Linked DNA regions of Oreochromis niloticus. The protein of the gene in region 1 interacts with the protein of each later gene in a biochemical or structural test. Links are inferred from orthologs where the notes say so. Each region holds a gene or a part of one and is shown in the gene's direction. Other genes may lie near its edges.

The links. The genes of interacting proteins can lie anywhere in the genome.
Region 2: the proteins of rnf8 (region 1) and ube2v2 form a complex in vitro, tested with the Homo sapiens proteins (2 studies listed by BioGRID). The link is inferred for Oreochromis niloticus from reciprocal best matches to the Homo sapiens genes RNF8 and UBE2V2.

Annotation. Positions count from the first base shown.
Region 1 is NC_031980.2:14,133,408-14,140,862, forward strand, and holds the start of rnf8 (E3 ubiquitin-protein ligase rnf8), read left to right. Parts: upstream 1-4,416; 5' UTR 4,417-4,525; coding exon 4,526-4,666; intron 4,667-4,872; coding exon 4,873-5,001; intron 5,002-7,455. Other genes in the region: aida (axin interactor, dorsalization-associated protein), read right to left, coding at 140-203, 555-609, 2,055-2,108, 2,196-2,262, 2,978-3,084. UniProt on the Homo sapiens protein: E3 ubiquitin-protein ligase that plays a key role in DNA damage signaling via 2 distinct roles: by mediating the 'Lys-63'-linked ubiquitination of histones H2A and H2AX and promoting the recruitment of DNA repair proteins at double-strand breaks (DSBs) sites, and by catalyzing 'Lys-48'-linked ubiquitination to remove target proteins from DNA damage sites.
Region 2 is NC_031982.2:18,523,911-18,532,008, forward strand, and holds the start of ube2v2 (ubiquitin-conjugating enzyme E2 variant 2), read left to right. Parts: upstream 1-5,088; 5' UTR 5,089-5,226; coding exon 5,227-5,242; intron 5,243-8,098. Other genes in the region: DNA replication licensing factor MCM4, read left to right, coding at 1-77, 333-466, 752-847. UniProt on the Homo sapiens protein: Has no ubiquitin ligase activity on its own. The UBE2V2/UBE2N heterodimer catalyzes the synthesis of non-canonical poly-ubiquitin chains that are linked through 'Lys-63'. This type of poly-ubiquitination does not lead to protein degradation by the proteasome.

The DNA of each region.
Region 1 (7,455 bases):
TCACATGACTCATGTTGATCTATTAGTTATTCTTTTATTGTATTAATTCATAAAAATCTGTAAATCCAGTAATGTTGAGACACAATGACACAGGAAGCATGAGCCCAAAGCAGTAATAACACCAGTGATGGATTTTTACCTTAACGGCACCGGCTGAACATCGAATGGAAACTCTTTGTTGTAGGTGAGTACATTTTTAATTACTGTTGAAGAAAAAGGAGTAGAGTTGATTATATCACTATTCAAACATGTCAGAATATCCAGTAAATTGTTCATCAGTGTTTTTCCTTCACAGAGAAATTTTTTCCACAGGCCAGAGCAAAAGGAAAAAAAAAATAAATCGCCAGATCAACATTTTAAAGTCTTTCATTTACTAAAGTGTAATAAACATTTGTTTGCAAAATGCCCAGAAATGACAGGAATGCATGTAGAGTTCTGTCAAATAAGGCCACACAGTTTCAACATCTTTACTATACACACACCAATCATGTTTTTCTGCAGTCGCCCCTTAGAGGCCCATTTCGAGCCAGGAAAAACCCCAGTCATACACTTACTGGTTTCCAGTTTCTTCAGGTCTTCTAACTTGAACTCTTCCTTTGACTGAGTGCACTGAAGAAACCCAGACAAAGGATATGTTCAGTATTTGTTTTTCCCCAGGAAGTGAATGTATTTTTTTTATAGCACTGTGCAAAAGTCTCGAGCCATCCCTAATTTATTCATAATGGGAAAGAGAAAAATGTTTAAACATACAGCATACAAGGCAAAAACAACTCTAACGAGCTTGAAAGTCAAGATTTATGATCACTTTCTTATGGTTTCTTTAGGCAGTCTTCAGAAATAGCTCTCCAGGCTTCTTGAATGACATTTACAGCTCTTTCTTGGAAGTTGGTCGTCTTCTGTTCAATGTGAGACGATCTCACACTTATCTCACATTAATGTTGAGCTTCAGGCTCAGGGGAGGTCAATCCATGACTGACGGTGACTCTTTGTGTGTTTCTGTATTCAGGAATACTTTTCCTGCATTGGCAGTGTGTTTGGGCAGAAACATAAAGCCATTATCAAACACTTTCTGGACGGACCAGAATCTGATTGTACTTTTCTGTGTTCTTATTCCATCGATTTTAACAAGATCCCTAACACACACTGGCAGAAACGCAGCCCCAAATCATTACAAGGTTTTACAGATGGGTGTAGACACCCACCGCTACACCTCTCTCCTGACCCCTTCTATACTTACCGATGACGATTTGAACCAAAAATGTCAAACTTGGATTCATCACTCCATAAGACCTTTTGGCACTGATTTTCAGTCCAGTTCTTGTTTAAGTTGGCATCCCTTCGCCTTTTCTCCCCGTTTCCTTTCCTTAAGAACGCCTTCCTGACAGCCACCCTTCCACTGAGACCATTTCTGATGAAGCTTTGTTGAACAGTACAAGGCTCAGCTGAAGGGTCAGATGGATCTCTCAGGTCCTGTGTCAGGTTTTTGCTGGATTTTTTCCTGTTTCTTAAGGCTTTGAAGCACTGTTTTGTATTTCAGGCCTGCCACTTCTTCTTTTCTTCTATACTTGACACTTTTCCATATTTTATTTTTTAAGGACACTTTTTCAGTTAATAGCTCTTTGGGAATCAGTCCAACAAACACAATTTTATGCCTTTTAAAACTCAAAGTGTCTAAAGATAACATTTTAAATTGTTTCTTTGCTAAGTTGCCTGATATGTGTAAATACAAGACCGTTTTGTCCCTTGAATTAGGTGCCTTTTTATGCTTGAATGAGTCACAGGTTAGTGTTAAGTGACTTAACAAGGAAAAACTTCCCTTTGGAAATGGTCAGGTACAAGGACCATTGGCCAATGTCCAAAGACAAACTTTGAAAGACCTTCAGAAAGCCTGGAGAACTATTGCTCAAGACCACTTTCAAAAGCGTTATATGCATAAGTAAAACTGCTGATGCTCAAATTTTACTTTTATATAATAATGATGACCTCAGCATCTCTGAAAACCTGGACATTGCCTCCTTTCTGTAGCTACTAATCATGCAGACTCCTATACAAACCTGCAAACTGGCACTTCTCATCTCCAGACATGTTGCAATCTTTGCCAGAGTTTTCTTTAAAAGAAAAAAAAAAACACTTGTTAGTTTAAGTAAAGTGACAGACACTCCGGTGCAGAAGCTGCAGGCGGATGTAATGATTACCTTCTGCTCTTCGGTGAAGTCTGATGAATTTGTTGACTGGACTTCTTTTTGCAGTTGTCTTGCCAAACTACACGAACCCACATGAAACACAGACGCGTTAATGATTCACTGCAAGACCCTGCAAGACTCCTATAAGGTAAGGTGTGTGTCTGTGCGCCCCCCTGCGGACAGTAGAAGCTGCTGCATGGATCTGGATTTTTGTATTGTTAGTGCAGTTTTAAATAAACTATTAACTGGGAGAGAAGCTGGGCACATTTTAAGGAAATTGCAAAGACAAAGATCTGGTCTGAGAAGCAGAAACCATTCCTCACTCAGCAGATGAAACCCACCCATAACAATGAGAGGGTGTGGCTGACTGTTTCCCAACACTCTGAGGAATACTGGCCCGTTTCTGCATTGCATGACACATAATGAAACAGACTGCTCGCAGCTCCGACCGATTTTCCATGACAGGCTACATGGACGGACTCTCCCTTAAACTCCAAAGTGCTGCTGTGGACGGAGCTAGGATGCATCAGGCAACACATCTGCTCCCCACTGCAACAACTGCCACATCACGTCATGGATGGGTAGGGTTTATTTACTGCTCCGAGAGCTGACTGACAGCACACGGGCTAACTTCTTGCACCTACTGTCTCCTACATGTTTCCCTGCAGATTTTAGGGACAGGCGACCCAGAGAAAGGAAAAGAATAAAAAAAAGAAGAAGCACAGCGCCCGGACTGCGTTCGGGTTAAACCAGCGCTGTGGACACACAGGACACACATGTTGAATGCAACTTACATTTGGTACTCATCTATAGCCTCCACTAATTGTCCCCACGAGTCAAAGTCTGTGCCTTTCTTAAAACTGGCGTGCCATTTCTGAATAGTCTTGTTGACATCAGACATGTTGGCGGGGCGGATACTCGCGGCGCTCTCAGGGCAGCATAGCCGAGGAGGAGATTCATCTACGGGGCTTCAGCGGCAGCGGAGTCGTCGGCCAGGTCATCTGCTGTGCAGAGGCGCGCGGATAGACCGGTGACACCCCGACCAAGCCCTTTCTGCCTGCTCACCCTAATATCAGCGCATCCGCAGGAGAAAGGAAGTCCCGCCTGGAGCTCGGGGTGCGCGCGTTTCGGGACTCGGGGTCGCCCGAATGGACGAAGAGCACCGCGGCGCGTTAGAGGTTTGAGAGCTGCGGGGAGAAAGAAGAGCTATTTTATTTAAAGGTGCAGGGATTTTTAACAACTGTATACACCAGCAACAGTTATGAAGCAGTACTACGGTTAAAATACTGCAAAGTAACAATGTTCATGTTTGGCTGTTTGGGTTTTTGTTGTTGTTGTTGTATTCTCCACTTTTTTCTTCTTTTTTTTTTTTAGGTATAAGTATCTTTCACTACACTGCTTTTGAATGGTAAATAACAGTAAACACAAGCTCTAACGAAAAAACAAATAATATTTATAATAAAATACAATATGACTGTGACTGTGTAATATCAGTGTCAGTGTCAGTTTTATTTATATAGCACCATTCCTTACACTTATACTCAATGTGCTTACCAAAAGAGATAAAACAAAAGAAATTATAGACGTCTACGGTGTCTTGAGGCAATACAAAATGCAAACTAACAAACACAAACTTATTATATGTAGGAATAATTAAAAGGTTTGAAGTTAAACATGTGTTATTACAACACTAACAGGGTCCACATGATTACTTTTTATTATAATTATAAATTATTATAATTCTTGACCTTCAATTGTAAAAGATTTGTTTTTTTTTCCTGAGGTGAAAATGAAGTGGAGAGGGTAAAAAAAAAAAAAGAGTATTTCAGTGTTAATATAACTAAATGGGTGTATTTACTTTAAGCAGCTGGTTCAGGGTAAAATTTAAAAGTGTTATTTCATTTATTTATTTGTCTTGATGGTTGCTCAGTCATGCAGGCAATTAAATTCCAGACCTTATTAGCAACTCTATAAACAGTATATTCGCATAATGCATTGTGTGAACTGAAGAAGTTACTTGAATGAGTGACGAAACATAAAACTCTACGTCTTGTTTTGTCCCTACTGTAATATGTTCATGGACACCGTAATATTTCTACTTTGGGTCTGCAAAAGCTGAATAAATTTTGAATTAATAAAAAAACTAAATGATTTTAGAGGGATCCAAGTGATTCATGGGCTGTCCAAAGATAAGCGTTGAAGCACATCTGTGGCCTTTATTTTGAAAGAAAATGAAATGTCTTCCGGTTTCTCCCAGTATGTCGGGATGTGGCGGAGGAGCTGAAACAACGCAGTTAGTGGTGTCCTTTCGGACGACTTGGCCGCTGATAGAATGAGATAAGATGGATAAAGAGACGGCAGCGGATTGCTGTGCGGTTGAAGACGATGAATGTCCGGACTCGGAGGTTTTTTGTCTGATGAGAGTCGGGAGAAACTCTGACTGGCTTCGCTTGTTCGAAAACACAGAGGTGCAGCTTGCTAATGTTAGCTAACGTGCTATATTTATACTAACATGAAGCTTGCTCAGGTTCACGGCAGATTCCAGTTTACATGTAGGGGGAACATTACCCTCAATTTATGGTTAATAATTTAGAATTGTTTTAAGCTGAAGAGTGTCCCTGTCCGTTTTTTATAGAACTGGAGAGATGCAGAGTGGAGCTAACTAACGTGTTTATTTTTGGCTGTGCAGATCACCATTGGACGTGGTGTGGATGTAACTTACCAACTACTGTCTCCAGCCTGTCCCCTGATGATCTCCAGACTGCACTGCACTTTCAAACAAAGTGAAGACGGCCACTGGACAGTGACAGACAAGAAGGTGACAACGAGCTTTATTGTGAAATATATTTTAAAGGCTGTGCTAGAGGTCTTTGGTACAAGTCCTGTGCAGGGATGGGCTGCACTTTCTCTAAGGGAGGCATGCTGACGTGGATAAAGTAAATAGAGCCACACGAAATTAAAACATGATGCACATATTACTAAATTATGTTAAACCCCATTAGTTTGGGAAGATCTAGAAGATAAGAATGGGTCCATGTTTTAAAACCCACCAGTATTATGTTGGCATTTGGTGAAGTTTTGAGTCAGTCTGGTTTACTGTGACATAAAGCCATAAATACACTTGAGCATCAGCATTGTCAACTTTTTTATGTATTTATGTGTTCATCACAAATAAAGGATGTCAGGGAATGTCAATTTTGCCCATTTGTGTTGTAGGAAGTTTATGTTATTCTGTATATCATTTCATGGTATTTATTTATCACGCTCATCTTTATATAATGGCAACAAAATAAGTTTTGCAAACTGTGCAACAGATACCACAAATTATACATAGACAAGTAGCAAAAGTTTCAAACCCTTATAACTCTAGCAACATAAGATGAAAGGTGGACAGCAATACCATACTAATCATATACTGTTTTATGTTCTGAGGTACACTAAAATGCAGAAGGCCAAAGGTTCAGGACTTTCAACAGCAACATTGAATCACATTAGATGTTAGGCAATGAAAATGTGAAATAGATTAAGTTAAAGCGCCAATATTTTACCATTTCTATTTAATGAACATTTCCCCAAAGATTGTTAAAACAGTGTGCATCCTTATGCAAAATTTCCATGCTATGGTATTTTACTTGTAGTCTAAATTGCTTCATCTGCAGTTTTGCCTTTCTTTCCTTACTCACCGAATGAAATCTAGTCTGTTTTGGCCCTTAACAAGTGTGTTAAAGTCCGGTTCAGTGTCAGCACTGAGGTGGGATATGATTAACTTTCTTAATGAGAAGGTCTGTTTACATACAAAGTTAGATTCAAAGAGGACCAACATCTTCTGTGCATGCCTTCTTATGTGTTGAAAGTTCTCCTTTTTGAGAGAAGAATTCAAATCCAGTGGTGATACTGACTTGAAGTTCTCTGCAGTAGGGAATCAAAAGTGCAACAAGCATCAGTAATGTGTTCATTTTTAGCACTGACTTATGCAACACATCCTGGTGTACAATACAATGGAAAAATACCAGTTCCAGTTATGGGTTCATTTCAGTGTCTTTATCTGGATCTGCTTAAAAAGTCCCAAATTTATCTCTGTCAGGTTTGGACAGCTCTCGGTTGTAACACCTGTCAGTTTGTTCCATTTCAGCCTCAGCCTATCCGAGTGTGCAGCTCATGAATAAATCACTCCCTGTCATACTTGCTTTCATTTTGCTTTCTGAACTCAACTATGTAGTCTTTGGTAATCTCATGTACAAAAATTAATAATTGCTGTGCTTACTATTTCACACCAGCTACAGACTGAAATGTCTATTACATACCTCCCTCATCACATTGAGTTTATTATGGGTCACATTAATGGGGCTTATCGGTAACAGCTTTAATCTGGGTTTGAAAGAAGTTTGACGGAAGCTGAAGCCAGATTGTTGCCTCCAGCCGTGTCTTTTCCTTTGCGTCTATTACGTTCCTGCAGCATCAAACCGCTACAGGATCTACCCATGAGCCTCTCAGAGGAGAGCTAAAAACATTAACTCATGTGGCACAAGACAGACTGGATCAATCAGGCTCTAACACAGAATGATACTGTGTACCTGTGTTTACACAGCATCTCAGTTTTATATTTTTAGCAGCAGCTAAGCAGCTATCAGAATATAACTGGTACTGCAAGTTGTAGAAATCTTCATTGTATTAATCTAGGACATGCTGTAAAAATCACATGCCTACTATGGCTCTGTGCCCATCCCTTTTGTATGTTTCTCTGAATGAAGCTGTGGTGGGGAACGTTAACGTGGACGTGACCTACAGTCTGAACGGCAGAATGACGTCATTGTAAAATGTTGCATGTTTGAAAAGCGTTTCAGTGTCCTGGACACGAAGGAGTGGACTCACCCGCTGAGACGGCTCCTGAAATTGTTTCGGTGTGAGGAAATATCCTTAAACAGTTTACTCTCCAGCATGTGTAAATGTCTTGGAGACAGGATGTTTAAGTAGTGTAGGCTTGTTGTGTGAACATCCTGTACAAGACACATGGATTACAAACAATCCACAGTACCTTCGTGACATCTTTTGACCACCTCTGTCATGCCCACAAAAGGAAAATTACTCCTGTCTCCCAGCTGGGATACGGCTCTGGGTCACACCAGATGCTACAAAGTCCAAGAAATTTAGTGGGTCACTTAATATTTGCATGTGCTGCCTTTCAGCCGTGTGATGAGTTTGTATTTTAAAGGCCTGTCCAGGGCAAATTAGTTGAGGCGATAAATGCTGCTGGTTTTGTTATCTACCTTGT
Region 2 (8,098 bases), on another chromosome or scaffold:
GCTGCACCGAGAGGCCCTCAAACAGTCGGCCACAGATCCCAGAACAGGATTTGTAGACATCTCTATTCTGACAACAGGTACGGAAGACAATGAAAGTATTTCTAAAGGTGCTGACATGAAAAATTAAAGATGCACTTTATGAGGTGTCAGGCTCATTTTACAATGGCCTTGCTTTGAAACACTAGTTCCATTTTCTCCATTGTAAAGATGCTACTTGGGCTTTTCTGGCCTCTTTATAGGACAACTTTTGAACCCCAGATTAATAATGCAAATAATCTTTAGGTTCAGTCCTGCAGTTGCATTTCAATGCATTGTTCTTTGCTCGATTACAGGCATGAGCGCCACAGCACGCAAGCGCAAGGAGGAGGTAGCCCAGGCCCTGAAGAAGCTGATCCAGGCCAAAGGGAAGACGCCAGCCATGAAATACCAGCAGCTGCTCGATGACCTCAGAGGACAGTCTGAAACTGTGAGTGTTTTTAAATCTTTATTTTTATTAAGCCAGCATGAAGTCAAAGCTCAAATATCAGTTTGATTTCAGCTCTTCAGATGGCGATTGCTATGACCGTAGCGTGGCACTTGTTCCTCATTAGACTGAGCAAAAGCCAAGCTCTAACATTTCTGTCTGTATCCTCTGAAATATCACAAAATTCAGCCAGAGTAGCCGTCGACACGTTTGCACTCTTTGAGTATTTGCTGCACTCTTTCATCACTTCCTCTCTAATGACTTCCTCCTCTCTTGCCCCGTTTGCAGGCGATTACTAAGGAGCTGTTCGACGAGGCGTTGCGAGCTCTGGCTGACGAGGATTACTTGACAGTCACTGGAAAGACTGTTCGTCTCCTTGCTTAAGGCACACCCTGCAATTATGTACAGTCCTTAATTTTAACTCCTATCCCATGTCGACTTCTTTACTCGTGCTGTAAAAAAACGTATTTGTATAACTGAACCAGCATGTGCTGAATATCTGGGTGTATTAGACCCCCGATTGGTGATTCAGAAGGACCCCATGACTCATTAAACGCTGGTTTCCTGTTGCAGTTTTTATAGGAACGTGTAAAAACTGCATCCAGTGTTGACTTAAAGAGCTCATATTTGAAAGTACTTATTTTCTTTGTTAACTTGTTGTTTTGTGCTGTGATTAAAAAGCTCTTTGGATAACTTGTACATTATAATCACAGACTTTGTCTTTTGGAAACTGTTAAAATAAGTTCAAGCTTGCTTTGTGTTTTTTCTTTTGGATTGAGTAGCTCATGTTGACTATTTGTTTATAGAGAATAAATAAAATGTTCACTTAAAATGCTTGCAAAGGTTTCTTACTTCTGACCTGCATATTTCACCAGTCTCTCTATGTTCAGTTGTTTGCTACCTGTTTCATATATGCAGAAGAGCCTACTGCTGACTTTACTGGGTGAATTTTGGTAGTAGATGGACTGGTATTTGTTCCAGTTTCCAGTATCCTGGCCAAGGATGCTTCTGACGTGCAGGTGAGCCAGTGATCAATCATTGAAACGAGGCAGGGTGGATCCAAGCTTTCGTGTTTACACTGATACTGACCCTATCATCCAAGTGACACGACAGAAACTGACTTATTAGATGTTTTTCCAATTTTCTTTATTTATTGTACCTGATGTGGTCTTCTGCTATAGCCCATGGGTCTGGAGATGCTCTTCTGCATACCTCAGTTGTAAGGAGTGATCATTTAAGTTCTTGTTGCCTTCCTGTTAGCTGAAAGCTGTCTCCTCTGGCATCAACGAGGTATTTTTACCCAGAGAACTGCATATTTTCTCTTCTGGACCATTCTCTGTACGCTCTACAGATGGCTGTATGGGAAAATTCTAGTAATCAGCAGTTTTTGAAACAGTATTAACAACCACACAACATTACAAGTCACTTGAGGCATCTCTCTTCCTTATTCTGATGCTCAGTTCTCATCAGTGTGTGGCCAATTTACACTGTAATGCAGTTTTCCTCCATTATGTAACAAGTGATAAAAGTCTATACAGAAAGACTTATTATGAACCATTAAATAATGACATGTAGACACGTTGGTTTCATCATGTGTCTACTTGTCTATGAATGTCTCCACTACCAAACCTGTTTTATCATTTAACAATGTAGGGCTCCAGCAGAGGAAATGCAAATGTTAAATGCATTTCACTGGTGCATGAATAATTGAATATGCTTTAAAAACATTTCAAAAATATACTCTCCGAGCATTTCAGAGTTTCCCAGACATAGAAGGTCAAGGTCCAAGGTCAGAATTGAGGTCAAAAGGTCAAAATCATAATTTCATTTTAATTTGACTTTCATACTTTGATCATTCAGAAGAGTCCAATTTAATCAAAACTAGATGGCTTGTTCAGAAAGAGTGGCTATTTTAGGTCATTTTTGCCAAAGTTCAAAGGTCAAAATGTATGATAGTCATCTCTGCTTTCGGTTAAGAACTTTTGGTCTTGGTAGCATTGTGCCATATCGTGAAAACTAGAACCAACCAACCATTTTTCCATTTATCTTGACCCAAACTTAGTCAGAATAAACGTAGTCAGACTTGACGATCTGTCCCAGTGTGCAGTGCACTGCTGCTTTTGTGCTCCCTGGCACTTTGGTGCAGTCCTTCGCTCACACCGGTTTAGCTCAATATCTGTCATCACAAGTGTGAAGCAATCGGAGCCATGAATAAAAAAAAAACGTTGGTTTGACCTGCTCAGCAGTTCAGCAGGGGGGTGCGGGGTTTGAAGTGGTAAAACATGAGCGTGAGAGCCTGCTGTCGCATAAAATCATGCTTAAACGGACGTGCCGAGCGGCTCTTTTATGTGGCTTTATCTCAGATTACAGCGGAGACCCCGGAGATTGTACACCTGCAGCTGGAGCCAGAATGATGCGTTGCTATAGCAACTACAGCTACATGGCAGCAATCAGAGTCAGCGATGAGAGTCAGTGACTTGACCAGCTACATCCACCATTTTGTCTTATCTGTGAACACACTTCATCTGATTCCCAAATGCTTCTGCTGCACGTCCTCTATCAGTTTATCTCTGCCGTCAATTTACTGGCCTGATTATACATGTGTAAAGTATGTTTTTTGCTATTGTATTTTTATTGTAGTCCAATTTTATCAGGTCTGACATTAGTCAAATAAATGGATAGGATATTGGAGGGAGAAAAACTTTTAATCCAGATCTGTAAGCTTAAATTATCCAATAACCTGACCACTGAGGAGATGCAGTAAAGCCAGATGTGTCTCGAATCTCTCAGATATCTGCTCTTCATAGCTTAACTGTGTCTTTCCTTCTTACAGTGCAACCTGCATAAATTCTGGAACTGGAATGGACACCTGTATTATCCACAAAAGTGTGTTCAAAGTTTCAAAAATAAAACAAACCTTTTATTTTGTGAAATATCTGACCCTTCTCATCCTGTTTTAAATGTAACTGAACTCGGTACAAATCAGCAGACGAGGTTTTGTCTAAGAACGTCAAAAGCCCGACAATTTAGGAGATGCTTGCTTAATTTTGAACGGTGATGTGTGACGTGTGCAAAATCCTAACCTGCCAAGCTGTCAGCTGTCACCAGGCTGAAATTTACCTGAAAAAAATGATAGTTTTTGTCAGTCATAATGTCCAAAGTATGGGGGTATGATAGAAAACTAATACAGCCTGCACGTATTTATATTAAATCTGTTAGTGAAGTTGTTAAGGCTCTAATCCTAACCAAAAAGAAGTACCTAACACTAACCTTGGAGGAGAAAACATAACTAAGCACACATCCACCTGCAGCTGAGGCTCCATGCAAGTGATACCAAAAGACAAATACAAGCAGCAGCTGACAAAACTGCATGTCGTGAAACCTGGTGTGAGAAGATGGTGGTACATCCTGTGAAGGAGGATCAGGTAGTTCCTCTCAGTGTGTTGCTGCTCCTTTAAAAAGCTGCACTGACTTAGTCTTAACTTTCATTTCAGCATGGTGGTGCAGTGGTTAGCACTGCTGCCTCATAACAAAGGGGCCCTGGGTTTGAATCCATTGGCTGGCTGGGGCCGCTTTGTGTGGAGTTTCCATGATCCCCATTCCTACATGGCTTCCTCTCACAGTCCAAACACATGGAGTTTGGACTGTGACCAGTTAGGTTAACTCGTGATTCTAAATCGACTTTGTAAATGATTGTATGTCTGCGTGTTGTCTCGTGAGTCCTCCCACTGCTTCGGTTTGCAAACTCCAGCTGTCCCCCTGTTTGATATGCTGAATGTAAAAACACTTCCACAAATGATGGTGCAACCCTTGTTAAAGCTCCTCGACCCAGCCGATAGAGCAGAGAAGAGAGGACCATCCTTTTTAGGAACTAAGACATCCTTTAACATAGCAGACTGATTGCCAAGGCACATGCAGGAGAACTGGGAACTGAACCGCGAGTGGCCTCTCCCAAACTGATGTCTGTAAAATTGTTTCACAAGAATGCATTTGTAATTTTTATTATTTATTCTTGCATTTAAGCGAGAATAAAAGCCTGACCATCAATTCAGTCATCAAATTGTGTCCAGGGGTTCAGACATGACCCAGGCATGGTCTTAAGGCTTTCCTGGGACTCGTTAATGCTCCTCAGCCCCAGTTTGCCAAGGATGGTACCAAGCAAGTTAAAGGCCTACTGTAAGAGCACAGAATCTGAACCACATGAAGCAGGTTAACAAATAAATGTAGGCGTCTTCTGATGATACAATCAAATAACTGACAGCAGGATGATGATCCGAAGTGAAGATCTGAATGAAGGTTTTGGAGTGACCAAGTCCAGATTTGGCATGATGTTATACTCGAAAACCTTACAGTATGGCTAAATTAAAACTATTCTGCAAAGAATAGTGGGCCAAAATTCCTCCACAGCAATGTCAAAGACTCATTACCAGTAACCACAAATGCTTGGTTGCAGTTCTTACTGCCAAGGGTGCCACAACCAGTTATCAGGATTAAGTCCAGGCAGGTTTGAGTAACTTTGTATCCTTAATGAATGGAATCGTCATTTAAAAACTACTTTTATTTGCTGTGTTTACGTTTGTCTAACACTGAAATTAGTTTGACGATATGAAACATGAAAGAATGGAATGAGAGTGAGAGTGGACAGGTGCGAGCAGCCCGTCAGCAGCGTGTAATGCCGCTCTCCGCCGGTGTGATGCTGCTCGCCCGATTTTTAACCGCCGTGATGTCACACATCTGTGTGCTTCTGGACTCGGCTGAAGAAGATGGCGGCCTCCTCAGGTTTGTGTGTCTTCAAACTAACATATACAGCGACGTGATGTGCGGCACAAGTCGAGGCCTCGCTGTTATTTCAGTCACGACACGGAGACTTTTTACTTAGGAGAGATGTTTATGAAATCGCTTTGATTTGTAATCTACTGCAGTCGATGAAGCAGTGAGCCTCACGGGAGCCATCTATGTCACGGAACTGCTGTGTTGGCTAACCTAGCCTAGCTATATAGCAAAGGAGTGACTAGCTGGCCCCGTGAGTTAGCTGAAATAGCTTAAGGTGGCCTTCACTGTGGCCCACACGGACACCGTGCATGTGAAACAAACGTTAGCTATAAAAATCCAGTATAAAATTTTAATTTGGTGTGTAAGTTTCTGTTAATATGGGTGTTGCAAACAACCATAGATGGCATTAGCTAACTTAGCGACTAGAATATTCCAGCACCGCGCGGCACTCACTCCCATTTTGTCCAGCTAGCTTGATCGGAATATTCTTATCACATATGAACGTCGTAAACGCGTATTTTATGTGATTAAATAGCCACAAAAGCACAATAACCTAAGAGTTAAACATGCATTATGAGAAATTTTGTATAGCTTCTCCATGAAACACCGCATACGGCCGTACACATAATGGTATCGGAAATGTTTTAATGTGGGGAGCAGTTCCGCCTCTGCTTTTATTAGCACGCTGCTCGCTATTGTTGTGACACGCTTAACGCCTTTGTTTAACCCATTTTCCATTAGGTAAAAAAAATGTATTGTATTTACACGAGGTGGGTATTTGCAGTTGTAGGGCGGGGAAGATAGACGAGCACCAGCTCGATTAACTACAACCGCTGTAGTGGGCACGCTTTGTTTCAGCAAGTAGTCGGGGCCCGTGCTTGCCTTCAGCGCTCCAACAGGAAGCGTGGCTTTTCAAACTTGCAAAATAAACGCCCTGAACTACAAAACAAAATAATAAAAGCAAGTCGCAGCAAACAGCTTTTATTTTTGTGCAGATCTTAAGCAACCGTAACGGAGACGAAACGGCAAAAGGGAGCGAAGTAGAGAACGTAGGAAGTAAGTTCGTAATCGAAACTGAGAAGTTGGCGCGACCTGCCGATTCATTTTTAACCTAGCTTAAGATTTAAGTTGCCCCATCAAAGACACAGACACACATGTGGGGAGCTGTTTAGATTTCTTCCAGCCGAGTTCTTAATTTGAGTTGCAGCAATACCTTTAACCGTCACTGCAACTGATAATACTTGTCAGACGGGTGAGGGCAACCACAAACAAGAGAAGAGCGGCAACAAAATTAGCATTCAGTTTGTACACAGTGATGAATGTGGCGAACACACTCATTACTGAGCCGATCCTTTATTCTGTGGCCTTTGCACCAACATGACATGATAGACCAACAGTCACCAACTCAGCTGTGTGTTGTGGAGACCAGCTGATGAATCGGTCTGCTGATATTAACCAGTCGCGTTTGTGTCCGTATCTATGTGTTAATGAATAATCTTTAATTAGCAATACAGACAAAAATGCTTGTAACTGGTCTAGAGCCTCTTCTTTTGCTCCTTTTGACTGTTTTTAGCACAGCTGACATTTCAAGATCGCTCCTGTGTTCTATTACTTAATCTTTCTTTCACTTAAACTTTACCCTGGTGTGTGTATATATAGATAATATTGACTGATAAATCAGTATTTTACATTTTTAATTGCTGAATTTTTGCAAACAAACAAAAAAAAGTATGTTTTGTGACCAAAACCCTGCACTTAGTGGCTCATTTTCCATTTGAAAAACAGAACATTACCAGAAAACGCAAACAACAAATTTCCCATTGGGAATTTTTTTTTCTTTTCCAGAGCTAAAACTTTGTAAGTAACCAAGTATTTACAGAAAGGTATAAATAATTTCTGTTTAATAAACAAATTGCACTAAAAAGCCGTTATAATGTTGCTATTACAGACAGTCCTGTTGATATCGGTGTCTCTGCAATGACTGAAATCTTTCAACAGTTTCTAGCGAGCAGAGACATTTTAAGAGTCAGCCGTTCGTTGCAGTCTTGCCTGAAGGGCTGATATTTTTTTCCTTTAAAACTTATCTCTGAAGTCTGACCATGATGACTTATCTGAGATCACAGGAGGTGAAATGAAAGATTACATTTCTTCGCCTTCCGCTTCAGGCATGTGGCCTTTTTTTTTTTTTCTTTCTTTTTTTGAGGAAAATGGCTCCCTTCATTTCCCTTTTTGTGGGTTTGTCTTTAGGATCATACTTATGAATACCAGTAGTTTCACGTAAGCGCAGCCACCGCTCCTGTAAGTGGTTCATCATTTACAGTCCGCTGAGTTCCTGTCAGGCTGTGTGTTTAATGCCAACTTATCAGCCCCCCTCCCCCCTACGAATACCCTCCTCCCCGAGCAGCCAAACATTGGATTGAAGAGTTCTGAGCGATGTTCTCATCGGCCCGGATGTTAAGACGCTGGTCATAAGATGGATTTTACTCTGAATCACTCATTAAAAATCAGCAGTATAGGCCCATGTGCTTCAGCTCTCGTGACCATTTCCAAACAGCTGTCAAAGCGCAGATATATTTCAAGCTTCAGTGTTAACGCGGCAACACATGTCTTCAGTGAGTGACTTCTGATCAAGGTATCAAATTCAAGCCACAGAAGGTGAACGTAACATACTGTGAGCTGCGGTCTGCCGAGCTATTTCTTGTATCAGCTTGCCCTGTTTTATGCACATTTAACCGCTTCACTCTTGTACATGGATTGCATGTTTTGATCCTAAGTATGAAGTCAAATTTTCATGAAACACCAGCAGCGGAAAAAAACAGACCGCAATTTATCAGAGTGGCTGCTGAATATTTTTCTGCCGGT